Linked DNA regions of Macaca mulatta. The main gene of each other region encodes a partner of the protein of the gene in region 3 in a complex. Links are inferred from orthologs where the notes say so. Each region holds a gene or a part of one and is shown on either strand. Other genes may lie near its edges.

Evidence for each region.
Region 1: the proteins of MAD2L1 (region 3) and MAD2L1BP are in contact, whole or in part, in a crystal structure (PDB 2QYF), measured with the Homo sapiens proteins. The link is inferred for Macaca mulatta from reciprocal best matches to the Homo sapiens genes MAD2L1 and MAD2L1BP. Residues at the interface, in NP_002349.1 of Homo sapiens: Tyr33, Arg45, Thr52, Leu54, Lys122, Asp126, Glu127, Arg129, Ser130, Arg133, Gln134, Thr136, Ala137, Thr138, Thr140, Phe141, Leu142, Leu144, Glu179, Val181, Arg182, Leu183, Arg184, Tyr199, Asp205; in NP_055443.1 of Homo sapiens: Pro61, His79, Tyr82, Gln83, Gln85, Pro88, Leu89, Pro90, Gln93, His96, Ala185, Leu187, Arg188, Phe191, Arg192, Phe195, Asp198, Ala199, Phe200, Ser201, Glu202, Leu203, Gln204, Ala205.
Region 2: the proteins of MAD2L1 (region 3) and MAD1L1 are in contact, whole or in part, in a crystal structure (PDB 1GO4), measured with the Homo sapiens proteins. The link is inferred for Macaca mulatta from reciprocal best matches to the Homo sapiens genes MAD2L1 and MAD1L1. Residues at the interface, in NP_002349.1 of Homo sapiens: Tyr38, Leu61, Tyr64, Asn67, Val68, Trp75, Gln82, Lys83, Ser89, Ile91, Glu92, Ser93, Gly94, Arg99, Gln101, Ser150, Phe151, Asp152, Leu153, Leu154, Ile155, Tyr156, Thr157, Asp158, Lys159, Asp160, Leu161, Val163, Lys166, Trp167; in NP_001013858.1 of Homo sapiens: Glu527, Arg528, Ala530, Leu531, Gln532, Gly533, Asp534, Tyr535, Gln537, Ser538, Arg539, Thr540, Lys541, Val542, Leu543, His544, Met545, Ser546, Leu547, Asn548, Pro549, Thr550, Ala553, Arg554, Leu557.

The regions. Positions count from the first base shown.
Region 1 is NC_133409.1:138,483,216-138,487,317, forward strand, and holds the start of MAD2L1BP (MAD2L1-binding protein), read right to left. Parts: upstream 2,835-4,102; 5' UTR 2,816-2,834; coding exon 2,770-2,815; intron 2,302-2,769; coding exon 2,036-2,301; intron 1-2,035. UniProt on the Homo sapiens protein: May function to silence the spindle checkpoint and allow mitosis to proceed through anaphase by binding MAD2L1 after it has become dissociated from the MAD2L1-CDC20 complex.
Region 2 is NC_133408.1:35,900,796-35,904,443, forward strand, and holds part of MAD1L1 (mitotic spindle assembly checkpoint protein MAD1), read right to left. Parts: intron 872-3,648; coding exon 661-871; intron 1-660. UniProt on the Homo sapiens protein: Component of the spindle-assembly checkpoint that prevents the onset of anaphase until all chromosomes are properly aligned at the metaphase plate.
Region 3 is NC_133410.1:128,904,276-128,906,699, reverse strand, and holds part of MAD2L1 (mitotic spindle assembly checkpoint protein MAD2A), read left to right. Parts: intron 1-1,858; coding exon 1,859-1,979; intron 1,980-2,424. UniProt on the Homo sapiens protein: Component of the spindle-assembly checkpoint that prevents the onset of anaphase until all chromosomes are properly aligned at the metaphase plate.

The DNA.
Region 1 (4,102 bases), on a different chromosome or scaffold from region 3:
AAGAATGAATATAGGGGAAATGAATGAAAATCTGTGTCAAGATGCTTAGATCATCTGCCAAATTTCTCCCCCATCCAGAGGGAAGACTTTCCAATACTATGTTTAAGGAATCCCCCCAAAGAGATCACCAGGTTGCCACCTAATCTCCTTATAGTGAAGTCTATAAGCTCATAAGGCCCAGGCATGCACACAGAGCTTGCAGTGATTTGTTCTTAAATATTCACCAGACACAATAAAATTCTCCAACATGAAAGTCAAAGACCAGAACAAAACAAATGGAGAATGGATTCTAGAAGAAACTGAGATGCCGCAAAGAACAAAGAAAAACTTCAAAAATTAAATAATATCCTCAGGCAAAAGAAGTTCATGGCCTGGTGCGGTGGCTCACACCTGTAATCCCAACACCACTTCGGGAGACTGAGGCAGGTGGATCACCTGAGGTCAAGAGTTTGGGACCAGCCTGGCCAACATGGTGAAACTCCGTTTCTACTAAAAAAACAAAAATTAGCTGGGTAAGCCAGGCGTGGTGGCTCACACCTGTAATCCCAGCACTTTGGGAGGCCAAGATGGGCAGATCACTTGAGGTCAGAGTTTGAGAGCAGCTTAGCCAAAATGGCGATACCCCGTCTCCACTAAAAATACAAAATTTAACTGGGTGTGGTGGTACACACCTGTAATCCCAGCTACTTGGGAGGCTGAGGCAGGAGAATCGCTTGGAACCCAGAAGGTGGAGGTTGCAGTGAGCCAAAATCGCTCCACTGCACTCCAGCCTGGGCAACAGAGCGAGACTCTGTCTCAGAAAACAAACAGGCTGGGCATGGTGGCTCATGCCTGTAATCCCAGCACTTTGGGAGGCTGAGGCAGGCAGATCACCTGAGGTCAGGAGTTCGAGACCAGCCTGGCCAACATGGTGAAACCCTGTCTATACTAAAAATACAAAAATTATTTGGACATGGCGGCGCATGCCTATAATCCCAGCTACTTAGGAGGCTGAGACAGGAGAAGCGCCTGAACCTGGGAGACAGAGGTTGCAGTGAGCCGAGATGGCGCCACTGCACTCCAGCCTGGGTGACAAGAATGAAACTCCCTATCAAAAACAAACAAACAAACAAAATTAGCCAGGTGTGGTGGTGCATGCCTGTAATCCCAGCTACTTGGGAGGCTGAGGCAGGAGAATCACTTGAACCTGGGAGACTGAGGTTGCAGTGATCTGCGATAGTGCCACTCTCCTCCAGCCTGGGTGACAAAGTGAGACTCCATCTCAAAAAAAAAAAAAACAACAAAGCAAAAAAAAGTTCATACAGAAATTCAACAACAGGATGCTATTAAAAAGAAACATGCAGGCCGGGCGCAGTATTTCACGCCTGTAATCCCAGCATTTTGGGAGAGGCCAAGGCGGGCAGATCACTTGAGGTCAGGAGTTCGAGACTAGCCTGGCCAACATGGTGAAACTCCATCTGTACCAAAAATACAAAAATAAACCGGGCATGGTGGCACGTGCTCTTAGCTACTGGGGAGGCTGAAGCACAAGAATCGCTTGAACCTGGGAGGCAGAGGTTGCAGTGAGCAGAGATCACGCCATTGCATTCCAGCCTGGGCAACAGAGCAAGACTCTGTCTCAAAACATAAAATACAAAAATTAGCTGGGTGTGGTGGCGGGAGCCTGTAATCCTAGCAACTCAGGAGGCTGAGGCAGGAGAATCCCTTGAACCCAGGAGGGGGAGATTGCAGTGAGCCAAGATCTCACCACTGCACTCCAGCCTGGGCAACAGAGCGAGACTCTGTCTCAAAAGAAAAAAATGCGAAGAGCCAGTTCATTAAGACCAAATGCAACACGAGTTTCAGAAAGAAAGAACAGGAGAAAAAGCCAGAAGGGTTAGGCTACCAAAGACTAGAATGGGGAGAAAGTGACTGAAGCCCTGGAAGCTGCTTAGTCTCTCAGGCTCTGAAGATTTCTTAGACCCCCTTTCTACCTGCCTCCCATCTAAGAGCCACAAAGTCTTCCCACCAACTTGCTCCCAAAGCCTGTGCCTACCTGGGGAGAAGGTTTTCGGTAAAAGTTCTTAAGCTGTTCATAGGGCAGAGGGAGTTGCTGGCGTTGGTACATGATATGCTTTAGAAGTTCACAAGTAAACTGACAGCAGCCTTCCTGGCTTACAGGCCCAGGAAACACCACTGGTACTATGCAGTCTCTTGGGCAAAAGGGCTCCGAAGGGTTGAGAGGTTCCTGGGTAGAGCTTGTCTCAAGCAGTTCTATCTGGGAGGCGTGAGTTTCTTCTGACTTCTCATACCACTCCAAATCTGGTAGATGAAAAGAGGGACAAGAGAGAAAAATTTAAAACCTAAAAGCCAAAGTCAGTCTTCTCATTCCCTGTGGCCACCAAACCAGCCACCCTGAGAAAGCAGGCACTCCGACATACGCCCATACCCTCCGCAGCCTACAGTGTGGGCCGTGGCAGGGAGAGATTCCTGATCCCTGTTGCCTGAGGAGATTTAATTGACTGAAAGATAGTGGGGGTATTTCGGAGGTAGTAACTAGGGCTCCCCGCTCAGAAAGCAGCGGGACTTGATCTGGGGAAATGAGTCAAAAGTGTAGTCAAGCAGGGTCCAGTGCGACCCACGGCGATGGAGTCACAGCTAGAGCCTTGTAGGACACCCGGAAGACAGGGAAGATGGGCTAGGGAGAGGACCAAGGGATAAATGGAGGGCGCGGAGGTAGGGAAGAAACGGGTCCCTAAGGCTTCCCAAACTCTGGGCCCCACGCCTTACCAGGGACTGAGGCTGGGGACAGAACCTCCGCCTCCGGCGCCGCCATCACGACCTCCTCCCCTTACTCCTTGCGGTTAGAATAAAGGTCCCGCGGGGCATCATGGGAAGCCCGCGCCTCCACTTCCGGTTCAGTTGGGCCGGAAAAAAGGCGCGGCGCCACGGCAGTGTTGGGGAGGCTAAGTGGAGTTGGGATTTGATCCCTCCGTTCCTTCCTTAACACCCTGGCAAATATACGCCTAACCCTTGCCCAGCAAGAACCCAGGCGTTCTCAGCCAATGAGCGCTGCTTTCCAAAAGACACCAACCCTCACGCATCCATTCACTCCAGCATTCACTACTCACTGTGCACCTACTTCGTGCCAGGCCCTGTCCTAGGTGCTGGAGACTCAGCGGAGAACAAGCCAGGCGCGGACCCTGTACTCAAGGGGTTCACTGCCTGTAGATACCATACAATGTGATGAATTATACAGAAGGGTTTACACGGGGTGTGGAAGTGAAAAACAAGGGTGCCTGACCCAGAGAGGGTAGGGGCTGGGAAGGAGTGGTCCCAGAAGAAATGTGTGAAGCTGTGACCTGTAGGATAAGTCAGCAAGGTAAAGAGGAGGGCCCAGTGCTCCAGGAGACCTTGAGACAAGAGCATACTCTGTTCAAGGAATGAAAAGAGTTCATATTATAAAGAGTTAAGGCTGTAGTGAACAACAGGAGCCAGATCATGGCAGGACTGTGTAAGCCATGTGAGAGTTTGGACTTGATCCTGTAGTCAGATGGGGAAGCTTTGAAAGGTTTAAGTAGGAGAGTGGCATGATTAAATTTACATCTTATAATCTCTACCCTGGCTGCAGGGTAGAGATTGGATTACAGAGAGGATAAGAGAGGAGGCAGGGATACCAGTTAGAGGTAGTGCAATTACCTGAGTACTTGATGAAAGCAGCCTAAACTGCTAGGGTAGTCACAGTGGGGTGGAGATAATTGGGTAACTCGATATATTTAGGAGGTCCAGTGAACATAACTTGGTGATTGATTTACAAGGAGGAGGAGGAATAGAAATAGACTGACAAGAGGCCGGGCGTGGCTGCTCACACCTGTAATACCAGCACTTTGGGAGGCCAAGGCAGGTGGATCACAAGGTCAGGAGTTTGAGACCAGCCTGGCCAACATGGTGAAATCCTGTCTCTACTAAAAATACAAAAATTAGCTGGGCATGGTGGCATGCACCTGTAATCCCAGCTACTCAGGAGGCTGAAGCAGGAGAATCGCTTGAACCGGGAGGCAGAGGTTGCAGTGAGCTGAGATCACGCCACTGCACTCCAGCCTGGGTGACAAAGCAAGACTCC
Region 2 (3,648 bases), on a different chromosome or scaffold from region 3:
GCAGGAAGGGGAAAAGCGACCGCCACACAACCTCTGCACCTGCAGGCTCACGGGGAATGCTCTCCCACAGTACAGGGTGCGATGGCAAGTAGGTGGGAAGAAACAGGAGAGGGTGTCATCGGATGAAAAGCACCACCTCACCACATCAGGGGATAGGCCGGCATGCCAAAGGCTGCGGGCCTGACTTAGACCTGGAGGGTGCGGGCAGGCCCCGCTGGCCCTCGTGGAGGCCCCACTCTTCCCTGAAGCGCCGCAGGCCTTCGCTGCAAAGGGCTCTCTGGACTTCGTGAGGCGCACTTAGGCTGGTGAGAGACGGACTTGTTTTTGGAGAGGATTAGATTTACTTGTGATTAATGGTGTGTGTATAAACTAACAAATGATACGAATTTGTTTAAGGGCCTAAGATTTCAGCCCCTTGTTTCTCCACTGCTGCCTGCAAACTTGGACAGCTCCACCTGTTTGCACAACCCTGCAGGTGCATGGGGACACGGGGCCGGGGTGCTCCGCTCCAGCAACCACCAGGCCTGGCTGCCCACAGGGGAAGACAGACCCTCTGGGGATGACAGGCAGGTGACAGCCAGAGGCTGCCCCAAGAGCGCGCAGATGGACCTACCCACAGAAGGTCAAAGATGGTGGGGGCTGGGGGTGGGGGGTGCCTACCTGCCACCTCCTTGGATGATGGCAGACTCGCGGCAGCAGCCTCAAGGTCGGTTGGGACGGTGCCACCTCTCTCCATGGCGCGCAGGAGCCCTCGCAGTCGCTCGCACTCTGCCTGCAGCTGGCTGTGGTCCTCACGCAGGCGCTGCCTGGCCACACTGGCGGGGTTCAGGCTCATGTGCAGCACTTTGGTCCTGCTCTGGTCATAGTCACCCTGCAGGAACACACACAGCACGGGTCACCATGGCCCAGGAAGATATGTGGCACGGGTCACACGCAGCACATGTCACCATGGCCCAGGCACACGTGCAGCACAGGTCACACACAGCACAGTGCTCAGTTATTTTGTCTTTTTGAGCCTGCCTGGCAGCCGTCTCTCCTTGAAGGAATGGCTTCTTCCCTGTGCCCTGTGGACAGGTGCAGGACCAAGGCCTGGCCACCTGCTGGGTCCCTTCTGCCTAACCACAGGAAGAGGGTGAGAGGGGACACGGCCCTGGTTCAGCGAAGCGCAGCACTTCCCAGAGTTCCATGCTTAGTGCCTGGGAGGGAGGCTTCCTCTTCTCTGAGGTTTCTGGCTGGGAGGAGGCTTGGAGCCCGTGTGGCCATGTTCCCATCTCTTCCCGGCCAGCCTGGAAGGTGCCCCGTGCCACAAGAGAAACAAGGTCAACCACACAGAGATGGAGGGCAAGGGAGCCTGGCACCGGCGTGGGTGGCTCAGGAACGTGCCTTGCGACCTGATGCTCCCGTGAAACCCAGGGCGGGGACGTGTGTGGCATCCTTGAGGTAGGAGTGCGCCTGGAGGCCCAGCCTGCTGACCTGTGGTAGGTGACCGACCCCCAGCAATGAGCATCACGCAGCCCTGCAGCAGGGGACAGCCGCCCAGGGCAGGGGACAGCCGTCCTGCAGCAGGGGACAGCTGCCCGGGACAGGGGACAGCCCCCCGGGGCAGGGGACAGCTGTCCTGCAGCAAGGGACAGCCACCCAGGGCAGTGAACAGCCACCCGGGGCAGGGGACAGCCACCCGGGGCAGGGGACAGCCGTCCTGCAGCAGGGGACAGCCGCCCGGGGCAGGGGACAGCCGTCCTGCAGCAGGGAACAGCCGCCCGGGGCAGGGAAGTGCAGGGTCACTGCGCACCCCGAGACCGCGACCTCATGCCACACATAAACATCGGTTCCACCACGTTCTGTCTCCTGGGAGTAGACACAGCTTTCTCAAATAGGGTTCAGGAAGTAGTGGCCGTAAAAGAAAAAAAAAAAAAAAGAGTACAACTGACCTTATACAAGTCAAGAACTTCATCCACCGCAACAGTGGAAAGGCACCCACAGAGCAGGTGGTGCTGTCTGAAAATCACATTTCTGAGAAAGGGTTCAGATCCAGAACATACGAAGAACTCAGAAATAACCAAGGGCATGTCAGACAACCCACTCTAAAAATGAGTCAAAAATGTGAGCAGATACTTCCCAAAGAGAGACACCCAGAAAGCTGATAAACACATGAAAAGGCGCACACACATGGGCCCGGGTCGGGGCTAGTGGCACACACACAAACACGGACTAGGACTGGGGCCAGAGACACACACACACAGGCTAGGACCGGGGCCAGAGACACACACACACATGGGCTAGGACCAGGGCCAGAGACACACACACACAGGCTAGGACCGGGGCCAGAGACACACACACACGGGCTAGGACCACGGCCAGAGACACACACACACGTGGGCTAGGACCGGGGCCAGAGACACACACACACATGGGCTAGGACCAGGGCCAGAGACACACACACACAGGCTAGGACTGGGGCCAGAGGCACACACACACATGGGCTAGGACCTGGGCCAGAGACACACACACATGGGCTAGGACCGGGGCCAGAGACACACACACACATGGGCCAGAGCCGGGGCCAGAGGCACACACACACACGGGCTAGGACCAGGGCCAGAGGCACACACACACATGGGCCAGAGCCGGGGCCAGAGGCACACACACACACGGGCTAGGACCGGGGCCAGAGGCAGGCACACACACAAGGGCTAGGACCGGGACCAGAGACACACACACACACATGGGCTAGGACCGGGGCCAGAGACACACACACACAGGCTAGGACCGGGGCCAGAGACACACGCACACACGGGCCAGAGCCAGCGCCAGAGGCACACACACACACATGGGCTAGGACCGGGGCCAGAGGCACACACACACACATGGGCTAGGACTGGGGCCAGAGGCACACACACACACGGGCTAGGACCGGGGCCAGAGGCACACACACACACATGGGCTAGGACCGGGGCCAGAGGCACACACACACACGGGCTAGGACCGGGGCCAGAGGTACACACACACACATGGGCTAGGAGCGGGGCCAGAGGTACACACACACACGGGCCAGGGACGGGGCCAGAGGTACACACACACACGGGCCAGGGACGGGGCCAGAGGTACACACACACACGGGCCAGGGACGGGGCTGGGGCCAGAGGCGCGCACACACACACACACGGGCCAGGGCTCCCGCCAAGTGCTGAAACTCTGCTGTTCGTGGCTGTCAGCTGTGGGGCAGTGAGACTGGGTGGGCACCCCGTCCCTCAGGCCCAGACACCACCAGCCCCCGTGAATGAGGGGTGTGCCAGGGAGCCAGGCCAGCTCCGTGCTTAGCAATGGCCTCCTCCCCTTTGGCAATGAGTTCCCGCCGCCCTTGGGGCTTCTGTCCGCACACTGTCCTATCTCCCAAAGGGGAACAGGGAAACATTTCATGTGTTCGGGTCACCCCACGCTCTCAGGAGAGAGGCCGGTGTGGACACATCCCATGAAGTGAAGCGACCAGGCGCAGTAAGCCTCCAGCCTCCCAGAGCCCAGGCTGTGGTGGGCCACTGCTCTCCAAGTCCCTGAAGGACGGCGAGGCCTGGCCTGGGCCGTGCCCACTGCAGGGCGCCTGAGTGGGGCTGGAGCCCGTCAGCCGTGGGCAATCGTGGTCCCAGAGCC
Region 3 (2,424 bases):
GGCGTGATCTCCACTCACTGCAACCTCTGCCTCCCGAGTAGCTGAGATTATAGGCGCCTGCCACTATGCCCGGCTAATTTTTGTATTTTTACCAGAGACGTGGTTTCACCATTTTGGCCAGGCTAGTCTTGAACTCCTGACCTCGTGATTCACCCACCTCTGTCTCCCAAAGTGCTGGGATTACTGGCGTGAGCCACCACACCCAGCCAGTTGTTTTGTTTTGAATGTCATTTCCTCTAGCCTTTTTTAGGGTCTTGATCCTGTTCTCTGTTATATTTTCTGCTTCTGTGTTTTGATTTTAATTATCCCCATTGTTTTCATCTCTCCAGTTTTAAAGGAAGAACAAATTACCACCCAGTCTCCTCCTTTTCAGAGTGAAACTCATAAAAAGTTGTTGATAAATGCCAGGGATCACAAGGCCCACAGGCCGCATCCAACAGGTGGCCTGTTTTTGCACTGCCCACAAGCTAAGAATATTTTTACACTTCAGGTTTGTTTAAAAATAAGCAACAGAGACCTTGGTGGCCTATAAGCTTAAAATATTTACTAATTACTCTTTTTTGTAATTTTTCTTTACAAAGTTTCTTTACAAAAACTTCGCTGACTCCTGAATATGCTGTTTCAATTTCCAAGATTACTTCAAGGCTCAATCTGAGCCCCCGTTCTGTCTTTATAATTTCTCTATAGGTGATTTCTGACCTGTGTATAGCTTCACTAGCAACCTCTGTGTAGTCAACTCACAAACTTATATATCTATCCCAAAGCCTCTTTCTCCAGACTCATATATTCAGCAGCTATATCTTTATGTAGCTATCCCAGAGATAACATATACTCAAGCATACTAAAAATTAAATTTAGGATCATATCCAAAACTGATACTCTTTAATTTTCTCTCTGTCAGTGGCTAAACCGTCCAAACAGAAATAAAAGAAACTTGGAAGCTGTCCCTGAATCATGCTTCTTCCTTACTACCATGACTAAACCCAATAAATTTTAACCATGAAATCTCTTACATTTACCTACTGCTTCGTCTCTACCAGTTTATCCTCCTACAAGCTTTCATTAACTCTTGCTCGAATTACTGATGGACCAACTAGTGTCTCTAGATCCCCTCTTTAACATCTCCAGTCTACTTTCCATATCACAGCTAGAATGATAGTTTTGAAATACAAGACTAATTGCTTTACATCCTGCTTCACACACAGTAATGACTTCACTGGTCTTGAAGTGCATATTTTTTAAATTTGATCCACCAGGCTTTGCGTGGTCTGGCTTCTATTAATCTTGCAAGGATTGTATTGTTTTATTTTGTTTGTTTGTTTGTTTCTTGATTGCACTTGTAGTGAGCTGCTTCCAGTCTTCTAGTTATATGCTCTTCCCTTGTGAGTATTTGAGGCCTGTATCTTCTTTCCTATCCTTTTGCATATTTAATGCTGTTTATCCCTAGAGCTAAACTCAAACCTTTTCTGACCTCCGTAAGTGGCTCAAATTTTCCTTCTTTTATGCTCTCATTGCATCTTACATCTCTCTTTCATAGCAGCCATTACAATGATAATTTGTCATTTATTGGTGTGATGAGTAGATGAATGCCCATCTCCTATGCTTTTATCTTGGATTAGGATGAAAGTACCATATGTTCAGTATTCTGTCCTCAGCACCAATTACTGTACCTGGTACAGATACTGAGAATTTGAAAACAGAAGTTAGAGTATTGATGGTGCAAATTTTCTTGCACGTAGGAGGAAGTCCAAGATAGCAGTGGTAGGAATTTGCTGAGGATAGGGAGTAGGACCTGAGAAGAGAGCTACTTTATGATGCAGTGGACCAAGAAAGATGCCTTCATTTTTATGTGTTGCAGATTGGTTATACAAGTGTTCAGTTCAGAAACTGGTTGTAGTTATCTCAAATATTGAAAGTGGTGAGGTCCTGGAAAGATGGCAGTTTGATATTGAGTGTGACAAGACTGCAAAAGATGACAGGTAAGTAGGAATTACATTATTTCTACTTTGATATATTTTTTCAAAACTTGTTTTTATTACCAATTGAGTTCTAATTATATTGAACTAGTTTTATATAAAATATAGTTTGTTTCTAATTTATATTTTCTAAGATATCCTCAGTCACCTGTGGAAAAGAATTGTCGGTTTAACATATCATTGATTTGTATATATATAATTGCCTTTAGTCTAAATCAGCAATTTTCAAACAGTATTTATGGTGGTATATACAAAACTACACATGATATACTAGATGAACCATTTAATGAATTGTTCTAAGATGTTTTTAACTATAAGGAATTATATTAGATTCACACAATTTATGATGTAGCTCTGCTGTACTTCCTTTAATGCCATCTACTTCCTAAGACACTTGATAAATTTCTGAAAGTTCCAGACTCCCTGGAAGAGAAGTGTCTGTCTTTAT